Linked DNA regions of Nothobranchius furzeri. The protein of the gene in region 2 purifies or fractionates together with the protein of the main gene of each other region. This does not show direct contact. Links are inferred from orthologs where the notes say so. Each region holds a gene or a part of one and is shown on either strand. Other genes may lie near its edges.

The links.
Region 1: the proteins of top2a (region 2) and znf451 purify together in Homo sapiens (affinity purification with mass spectrometry; 3 studies listed by BioGRID and IntAct, with this or other methods). This does not show direct contact. The link is inferred for Nothobranchius furzeri from reciprocal best matches to the Homo sapiens genes TOP2A and ZNF451.

The regions. Positions count from the first base shown.
Region 1 is NC_091752.1:19,660,019-19,665,082, reverse strand, and holds the start of znf451 (E3 SUMO-protein ligase ZNF451), read left to right. Parts: upstream 1-1,992; 5' UTR 1,993-2,119; intron 2,120-2,928; coding exon 2,929-2,985; intron 2,986-3,195; coding exon 3,196-3,279; intron 3,280-3,356; coding exon 3,357-3,470; intron 3,471-4,624; coding exon 4,625-4,736; intron 4,737-4,821; coding exon 4,822-4,972; intron 4,973-5,064. UniProt on the Homo sapiens protein: E3 SUMO-protein ligase; has a preference for SUMO2 and SUMO3 and facilitates UBE2I/UBC9-mediated sumoylation of target proteins. Plays a role in protein SUMO2 modification in response to stress caused by DNA damage and by proteasome inhibitors (in vitro).
Region 2 is NC_091756.1:31,455,008-31,460,188, forward strand, and holds the start of top2a (DNA topoisomerase 2-alpha), read right to left. Parts: upstream 3,189-5,181; 5' UTR 2,958-3,188; coding exon 2,940-2,957; intron 2,304-2,939; coding exon 2,157-2,303; intron 2,035-2,156; coding exon 1,944-2,034; intron 1,862-1,943; coding exon 1,798-1,861; intron 1,701-1,797; coding exon 1,555-1,700; intron 1,207-1,554; coding exon 1,109-1,206; intron 1,005-1,108; coding exon 792-1,004; intron 1-791. UniProt on the Homo sapiens protein: Key decatenating enzyme that alters DNA topology by binding to two double-stranded DNA molecules, generating a double-stranded break in one of the strands, passing the intact strand through the broken strand, and religating the broken strand.

The DNA.
Region 1 (5,064 bases), on a different chromosome or scaffold from region 2:
TTAGATCATGCATGGGACTGTGTCATCGATGAGGAGAGCGCGGGCAGCAGAGGGCAACAGCGTGGCAGAGCATGACCTCGCATAAGCAGCCAGGGCACCCAGCTCCGATTTCATTGATCTGAGGCTCTACTTATGTTTTAAATGTCCATATTAGAGCTCCACAGGCGACTGATACAACTAGCCTCGTATGGAAGACAGGCGGTCCGGAGCTCCGTCTAGCTTCGGGGGTTAGCTTAACTAGCTAGAAGCTACATTGGTTCATTTGTTCCCACCCTCAAAGCCCCTCCCTCAGCTCCACCTCGTTTCCCATTTTTGGATTGTCTAAGCGTGGCGAGACGTGTGACACAGCCAAAATGGCGATGGTGGGAACTTCCCATTTTCAAACAATTAGAGAGATAAATTGGCGTTGCTCTGTCCAGAAATGAACATGTGTCTATGGCTCTGGCAAGAGCAACACAATTACAAGCATTTCTGTTTTATCATTTAGATCATAGAGCCTGCAAAATCAAACAGACAGAATGATCACCAATGCCGGCTACCTAAATTTTCCTGACACGGGATAACTGACCATCAAAATTAAACCAGTCTGTGAACTGGTCCTCTACCCCCAGTCTACCAAAAGTTGGAAAAGCAACAATCAGGAGCAGATATTAGATCTCATGGATCAAAATGGGGAAACAGAAAGTTGTCGAGGATAACAGGACACATCCAACATGTCCTCACATAAAATTATGGTTTCTTCAGGAGCTGTGATCACAAGATCAGGTGCAAGACCTGATGGTGGGAACAGACATAGATTTTCCATCTCAAAGGGAGAAGAACAGATGATGAAATGTATGAATTCTACTTGCATCTCAACTCAAAAGTGTGCTAATTTTCAAACATGTCAAATGCTGCAACAAAGTTCTTTACTTAAGCTGCTCCCCAGGAGAAAAAATAACCCTGTCTTAGTTTTGGGTGTCTGCAATGAACTGTTTCCTAGAGGAAAATAAAGATGATAGAATAAAAATTTATGTTTATTAATATGGTTCTAAGTCTTAATGGTAATCCTAGAACAGATGAAGAAAACTGGACTTCATGGTTTCGTGAAGATATTTAACTTCTCATCCAATGAACTTGATCAGTTCTTTAAATAATGACTGACATATGAGGGGAAGTGTCTCTTAGGTAAACGATTATATACGTGATTGCACAGCAAGGCCTGCATGAACAGAAGCATAATCTACTTTATGTGTTTAAAATATCATTAAACTCAAAAGTGATCAAATATTTTTCCTCCTGGAAAATAATTAAAAAAACTGAGATTGAAGTTGACTACAACATCTCACTATGGCCCGTAAGAGTTTTGAAAAGGCGGGCAGACATACTCCTGAAGTCTGTAAAATAACGCAAAAAGTCAAATAAAATAATAACTGATCAATTATTTAATAGTTTGATGTAATACACTATAGTAAATAAATAAAGCCTCTTTTTACTCTATTTTTTATTCATTTTTTTGAGTGTTGAAGGTTTCAGTAAGAGTCTATGCCTTTGTGTATTTATGATTTTCCTATTTCTCAGGGTGTATGTGCTGCCTTAACAAGTTAATTCTCCCACTGTGGAATAAATTGTCTATTCTATTCTATTCTATTCAATTCTAATGCTTCACCAGTAATTAAATGCTTCAATAAAATTCTGACATTTAAAATTCTAACTTCAAATAAAATCTTACATACCGTATTTAACTTTTGACGTATAAGCATGTTTTGAAACTACAGTTGCAGTTAAACACTCATCCTTTAGAGGGCACTGTCTCAAAAACAATAGGATGATACAATCGGCTTGAGTCTGCGGTCTCGATAAAGAATAAAGTTCACAATTATGGAAAAAAACTGCTTAATATTATAAACATTATACAAACGGTTAAAAATAAAAATGAAAAACTGTTGGGGGAAGACAATAAAAAAACATAACCCCGCCCATGCGAGGCACGCCGTGAAACGAAATAAACGCACTAGCTAATAGTGACGTTACAGACCAGACTAGCTGCTTCACGTTGTTGTAGAAGCTAGCCACCACTGCGCCAACGAAGGAGCCGATAGGATCAGCGCTACGTACCAAAAACATTCTACTTACTCTGGTAATTTCAAATATCTTGCAAAGTCTAAACTTTAGCAAGTTTGTTTGATTTCAGTTTAGCCATTGTGCTAGTTGTCAACGTAAACCGCTAGCCGGACGTTAGCATACTGAGAGCCTTCGCAGCCCCGGATATTGGTTACAAAGTAAGCCTTTATCCAGGTGGATTAAATATGAAGAAAACATTTTTACGTATTAATGACAAACTGGATGTTTTATTTTAGTGCTTTCCTTGTCTTATGTCCAAAATAATTGCATAACGTTCATGAAGTACAGCTGAGTTTGTTATTTACGTTTATTTGCAGCAGCAATTGAATGTTGCATTCTCGCGCCCTCCAATCTCTTCCTCCAAGTGGATTTCAGTGCTGCCCCCTTGTGGTATGAAGTTATATTACAACAGCCCTGATGGAAATAGTTGCGTTTCAGGTTATTTATGGAGGAAAACGTGTTGAATTTTTACATAATTTGTTTGTAATGAAAAATATGTGTAATACGCCTGAGTAGGTAGTTTGTTTGGAGCAGTAAATAAGTTTGAAGTCATTATGGTTTATACAGTTATGACTGCAAGTGACTAGTGAACATATGCAGCCATTTCCTCATGTTTTAGTGTGACTATTCCTAATTAAAGCCATGTTATCCGCAATCAAAACAGATTTAATCTTGTCTGTACCTCTAATCTCCCAGATAAAAGTATAGATACTTGCCTGACATGCTCATTAATGAGTACATAAATGCCTTTTTGATCCCACATTTTACAGCCATGTTTAGAATCTTTGTTGCAGCTTCAAAATCTTTTTTTCCCTTCCTGTAAAGATGTCTTCACCGACCCAAGGACACGATTCTGAGGCTGAAGAAGTGGAGTTTGTATCAGTAAGTTACGTGTATCTTTAACAAGCACTCAGGACAACAAAAAGAAAATGTTAATCCGGTGTAACAACCAAGTTTCCACCTTTTTGATATTGATTGGACACATTTTGCATTGACCTCTGCGTGGTGCGTGGTGATCAGTGTAGAGTGACATTTAAACTATGGTTATTGCAGCAAACATTCAGGTTTCAGCTCACTTTGCTCGTCCTGCAGGAAGGCCCTCTTAGACCAGTGCTGGACTGTATCGATCTGCTGAGTGACAGCGATGACGAGGGTTGTTCGTCTCGGGCGGTCACGGTAAGCATCTGAACAGATAAACGGTTTGTTGGTGTTCGTTTCTTCTGGAAAATGTTCTCATTTGATGTCCTCTGCAGCTTGAGGACAGCGTCACCCGAAACAAAGCACGGGTCATGTCCACGCTGGACAGGCTGGCACATAAAGTGGCTCAAGAGAAAAAGGAAAGAGCAGACAAATGTAAAGCATTCAAGGTAACTAAAAAATTTGCATTAAGTAGTATCCCCATTTCATGGCATTGTATACGAAATAGTGTTCACTTGGAAAAAAATATATAAAAATCTTTTTTTTTAAATCAAGAGATAATAAAGATAGAAAATAAGTAAATAAGTCACCTGCTGTTTTCACAACATAATGTTCTGTGCCTGTAGGCGTCATTAATTGGCTGTTTCATTCACTTTTACTTTGTTTTGGGATTGAGACACGGGGAAATAATCTCGTCTGGGTAGGATTATCATTAGTTTTTCGATTTTGAGCTGACATCTGAGGAATTAGCGTTTGTTTGGGCGCAGAGCCCCATCGGGTCATCTGACTATAGTCTTATTCACGTATATTTTTAGTAGTAGTATAAATACTAGTAAAACACTATTCCTAAAATACATCTCCCATATTATTTTGTTGATGCCAGCACATGAGAATGGTTGAGTGATACTCATGGAACAGAAATATTTTTTTCCACATTTTGTGTTATTAATTATTTTAGACACGATTTTTATGGTTTTATGTTACGAAGCTGCAACTGGGCATTATTTAATTCATTTTCAACCACATTTTGATGGATTTTTTTCAGAGATTAAAGGGAAAAACTACACATTGTCACTTTTTAAAGTGTCATTTTTTTTACATCATATTGAAAAAGATGCTTAAATATTATAGAAGCAGTTATCAGATGAAGTTTTAATTCTAAACGGTTAACATTCACAGTGGTTTTGTTTCATCTTTATGAATCCAAACAAACTGGAAAGCTAAAATATTTAGGTGAAATTAGAATATATTTAACATTTTTTATCACAAAAAATATGAAAATGGTTAAATGTCAAATAGGTTAGGGTCTGAATAAAGGCTGATTTAGCTGCAGGGACGAACGTGCCACCTTGTGCACACCGTAGATGTTACATAGACAACATAAATGATCTTCAGGAGTAAAATAAGATAAAAAATAATTTTAATATTTTGTTACTATGATTGCTCAAAAAACTTAAAACAAGTCATAAATGAATAAAGTTGAATGAGTTGAAGTTTTTATTTAGTTTTTAATGATGTCTGCATAATCAGCAGATACTTGTGTTTTGTGAGTCTGTAAAATAATATTCAGACTTCTAACATAGCAGCTCTTTTTGATTTTCAGGAAAAACAAATCATGCAGAAAGCTCACGGACAGCGCGAGCTGGCTGTTAGTTCTCCAAACGGGCGGAATCAGGAGGCAAAGCACTGTGTGGACATGTGGTTAAAGATGCCAGGTGACTTTTGTAATCCTAATTTCCTAAACATTGTATCACTGTTTTAGGTGACTGATTCAATTAATCCGATCCATCGTTTGTTTAGGCCTTAAACCTGGTGGGATCGGTGCTGACTGGGGCCGAAGACAGTCAGCTGCCGATTTCTCTAGAAACGCCTCAGCTCGACACACTTGTCCAGTGATCAATTGTGGCCGCGTTTATGACAACATTTCCCTCCTTGGTGGGCACTTAAAAAGGTAATCCCATTACTCTGCTGTTCGCAGCAGCTTTTATTTGGAGTGTTGGCCGATATTTTCCACCTTTGCTGATCTTCGGTCCCTCGTGTGCA
Region 2 (5,181 bases):
ACACTTTGGGACCCTTAGTACTGATTGATCATCGTTGCAACACCACACCCTACCCGAGTGTAGTTGCTGACCATGTCCATCCCTTTATGACCAGTGTACCCATCTTCCAGCAGGATAATGAGCCGTGTCACAAAACTCGAATCATCTCAGACTGGTTTCTAGAACATGACAAAGAGATCTCTATACTCAGATGGCCTCCACAGTCACCAGATCTCAGTCCAACAGAGCTCCTTTGAGGTGTGGTGGAACGGGAGATTTTCATCATAGACGTGCAGCCGACAGATCTGCAGCAACTGTGTGATGCCATCATGTCAATATGGACAAATCTCTGAGGAAAGTTCCCAGTACCTTGTTTAATCTATGCCACGAAGGATTAAGACAGTTCTGAAATAAAAGGGGGTCCAGCCCAGTACTAGCTAGGTGTGCCCAATAAAGTGGCCAGTGGATGTAATGTACTCTGGTAGGTCAGCATTTTGTAGCTACCCCAAATCTTCGGCCATGTCACAAGACATTTTCCAATGCCATGAAACACAATAGAAGCTGTACTTGATCTTTTTGCTGACCACCTCTTTAACATAACAGTGATTCTTTTCAGCAGCTGAAAAACTTTATTTCATCTTAAAGAAGCCAACTTCAATCTTATTTCAATTCTAAGACTCTCCGAGTTGACCACTTTTGATGTTACATTCAGATTAGGTGATATTAACCCATTAAAACAGGATAGTTTTGACTTTTAGTCTGAATGAGTTAAAGTACTAACAACATGCCTATTGATCATCATATAAACTTACTGGCAGCATCTTGCCATTGAAGAACACCTTCACTCCCTTAGAAGATCCAGCAATGTCATATGCCCTCCTTGTCATCAGAGCCACGGTGTCTCTGTCCAGGGTGCTCATCTTGAACTTGGAGAGATCAGGCCTGAAGGTGATGCACGTATACTCTTCCCCATCAAAGGGCTTGATTTTGGCATCCTCTGATCTGCCCATGTTGTCATACCAGCTCTGTGGAAGACATGAAAGTACAGTAGAAACGGATTTTCCTCTAACAAATTAGAACAATAACAAGTTAAGTCGTAAACAAGGTCAATGTATTTTCAAGTTTTCACCTGCTTGAAAACCTTCTTTGACTCTTTGCAGGCAGTCTCCACTGTGAACTTGGTGCTGAATATGTTGCAGAGCTTGGCACCGTATCCATTACGACCACCTGAAGAACAAGTCATTTTATACCAGTGATCCCCAACTCCCTTCCCCCTAGAGCCAGTATCCAGCATGTTTTAGTTGTTTCCCTAATCCAACACACTTCTTCATCAAGCTCTGCAGAAGCCTGTTCATTTCCTGCTGACTAAAATCAGGTGTGTTGAAGCAGGGAGAACAGTGAAACGGAGTTGGGGATCATTTCTATACAATCTCTGGCTTCACTTTTGGCCCCTTCTCACTCAATGCAGCTTTTTAAGTGGCTTTCCATTACCTTCTTATTAGCAACCCAACATGGAACTGCCCAGGCAAACTGTGACACGCCAAACACGTAACCAAAACCTAAATCTGATCTCACCAGTGACTTTCTTCTCATCATCATCGTAATTGCTGGAAGTAAGAAGCTGTCCAAAGATAAGGGCGGGCACATAGACCTTCTCCACTTTGTGCTCCACCACAGGAATCCCCTTCCCATTATTCCAAACACTGATGGTATTGTTCTCACTAAAAACAAACACACATTTTGGCAGAAGGTGAAAAAACAGTCAGAGAAATCACTAACTGCATTTAAATGTAAAGGGTAGTATTATAGAATACTCACACATCGATGCTGACCTTGATGCGGTTCATATTTTTATCCCTCTGCTTATTGTCAGCTGCATTTACTACAAAGGAACAAAATAAATGGTTAAAGGGTGTTTGTTGGCCAGCGGCACACATTTAAAACTCGTGAAAGCGCCTACTCACCAAGGATCTCATCAAAAATCTTATAAAGCCCTGGCACAAACGTCACGTCACGGCAGTTCAGGCCATCAAGCTCATCATACACCCACATTTGCTAAAGAAAAGAGTTAAACTCATGATTCCTGAAACACCAAAATAAAATAAAATGTTTCCGAGAGACGTGCCTAAATAAATGAACATATATTATAATAAAAATGGTGGTGGGGCTGTTCTTACTTGAGTGACAGGCTCAACAGAACCAATATAGGTGTCTGGTCTGAGCAAAATGTGCTCCAACTGGGTCTTCTTCTGGTAGATCCTCTCCACGGACATTCGCTTCGGATCTTTCTTTGTCTTCTCCACCGGCTTGTTTTCTAAAAAGGCCTGCGAAAAATGTCACAGTTACCGTCCAAATGTACACAACAGGACCGGTTTTATTTAGGTTTCAGATCAACGCATGTGACGCCACTGGACCGAAGAGTGTCACGGAGCTTTACGATTTTAACGCTACAAACGGAATAAAAATAATCGTATGTGCAAATAACACGAAACTGCGTCATCAAATATCTTTCGAGGCTTCTTCAGGAGCAGAATATCAACAAGTTTAGCGCGAGTCGCCATTTAAGCCTCATCTTTCCAATTACTCGGTTTTCTATTTAGTTGGGACAACTTTTCGATAGTTTGGTAAAATTGAACGACTTAATTGAACTGTGTTTGTTTGCTTCGAGAGGAAATTCATACATTATAGTCAAATGTACCCTGTTTTAGCAACGTAAAAGATGGCGTTAGAAACTTAGTCATTTTATTCGACATATATGTGTCATCTTTACAAGAAGGCCGAATACATTTGTACATCTAAACGTTGCTAAATATTATTTTTATTATGCTAAATATTACGTAGCTAAAGCTGTTAACACATGAAGCTAAAACAAAAGCTTGGACACTTTTTAACAGTTGATGTTTGGCTACGAGGACAAACACGCTAGCTCAACGCTGCTAATATTAAAGGTTTGAAGTTACCTTCAGCGGTTCAGCCATCTTTCTAATTCGTGTTGTTTTTAATATCGTAAAAGATGAGGATTGAACAAGTAGTAAAACAGCTCCAGACTAATCCTATGGTCGCCGACGTGATCAAATCCTTTGAAAATTCGAAACTTGGTCCAACGGTTTCGCGCCAGGTGAATTCACCAATCAGACGAGTGACTCTTCTTCTTCGTCTTCTTCGTGTTTATTGGCGGGTGGCATCTAACTTCTAGGTGCATTTCCGCCACCTACTGTGCTGGAGTGTGAGTCGGAGTAAGAGCGTAAAAAACCAAGTGGTGCTCGCTGCAGAACCACAAAGGCGGAGCTGCACCAGAAGGTGGAGCTGCACCAGAGTCAGCCCCGCCCATTCCAGAATCAGCCCCGCCCATCCTATCGGAGTCAGTCCAATTCCTTCCAGTTGTCAGACTTGATAGCATTCTGGAAACAAAGAGGGTGTTATAGCTAAAAAATGCAAGATTGAGGAGGGAGTTGAGAAGTTAATTGAACAGTTTTTGTAAAGGTTCCATATAATTAAAAATCTAACTTTTGGAACTTTTAATCATGTTATATTGTCATTTCCTCATAAGAAACACGCCAAAGCCATTTTTGGCCTCATTCATGCATTTTCTTCCCATCTCAGCTTCAATTTGGTCTCCTCCCCCAAAGTGGGTCTGGTCTTGGTTCTCAAATCTGGATATTCTGTGAATTTTCTGACAATTTATTTCTGAAATGACTTCTACTGAGACACCGCCAGAAAAATCATACATCCCATCTACAAAGACACACCAAATAACATAATAAAATGTAACGCCACCTGATTTTTATCAGATGTGGTGGTGTAGTGGTAATGGTGTCAGGTTGACATGCAGTTTTGCGCAGGTTCGCCTCCCAGCAGTGGAAATATTCTATAATCTCTTTTCCTCATTTCTAGCTACACTTGCCAGTACTATGTTTACAACAATTTATTGGTATGCCGTTTAACATATAATGACTAATGTGTTTTTTTTATTTATTCATTCGTTTATTTAGCCAGTGTGAGTCCATCTGTGAGCAGAGTTTCAACTAAAATGCTGTTTAGGAACGACCAAATTCAAAGAACTTGTAGAGACATAAATATTTTGCTATAAATGAACATTACAACTAAAATATGAACAAATTAAATGTTTCAGCTGGCTGAATAGATTGTTGCCGACCCCACCGAGAATCGAACCAGCATCAGCTGAGGGGAAAGCAAAACGTTAGTCAGACGATCTTGCCACTGGACTACCAGAACCCACAGGAAGGGTACATGCTGTTGTACAGGACTTTTGTTAGAGCGGCTGTGGGCAGATATTCGCTACGAGAAACCTTTTTATTTCGGGATATATTCAGACTTTGTCATGTAGCAAGTTATATTTATCTTGTTTAATTGGAGCACAGAACATAGCATTAACGACTGTAAACTAGTAACAGCCGTAATTCATGTGGGTCAGGTCAGTTTGCGATAAAGTTGAAAACAAAAACGGAAGTCAGTGGGCTAGGCTGAGTTTGCGTGAATGGGCGGGGTTGACTCTGGTGCAGCTCCACCTTATGGTGCAGCTCCGCCTTTGTAGTTCTGCAGCGAGCACCCTCTCTAAAAAACCCCAACTAAAAACTAAATTCTATTCAACAACAAACCACTGTGTTTTAGATACTCAATAGCCAACTTATAATGCCTTTCTTCACCATTTAACAAATTCTTTACATTTATCACTCCACCTCCTATGTTTTTTAATATCTCCCTGAGTTGTCCTCTTCTTTCCTCATATTTTATACAGTTACACAAAACATGTTCCACTGTTTCTCGCCGTTAAATAACCAAACATGCTCAAAAGTGGGCGACTTGTGATCCCTAAGGCTTGCGATGCATTTAACCCTCTTCACACGCTCTTACGCCACACCTCCAAACTCTCACGCTAAGCCAGCGCCTGCGCTTCCCCAAATGCGCATCACGCACAGTGCGTAGGGCTTATGAAAACAAACAAACCAACAAACATGTTATTAATTATAGCATTAGCTGCAGGCACAGAAAAGGAAAAAAAGAAAAGAAAGAGAATTCTGACTTATTTCCCTGAATTCCCTGTCAGAATTCTGAGATTAAAAGTCAGAATTCTGAGAAAAAAGTAAGAATTCTCCTTTTCTTTTATTTCTTGTCAGTGGCTCTAATCCTCTTCCATACAGAGTAGAAATAAATGCATTAAATGTAGAGCACAAAAAGTCT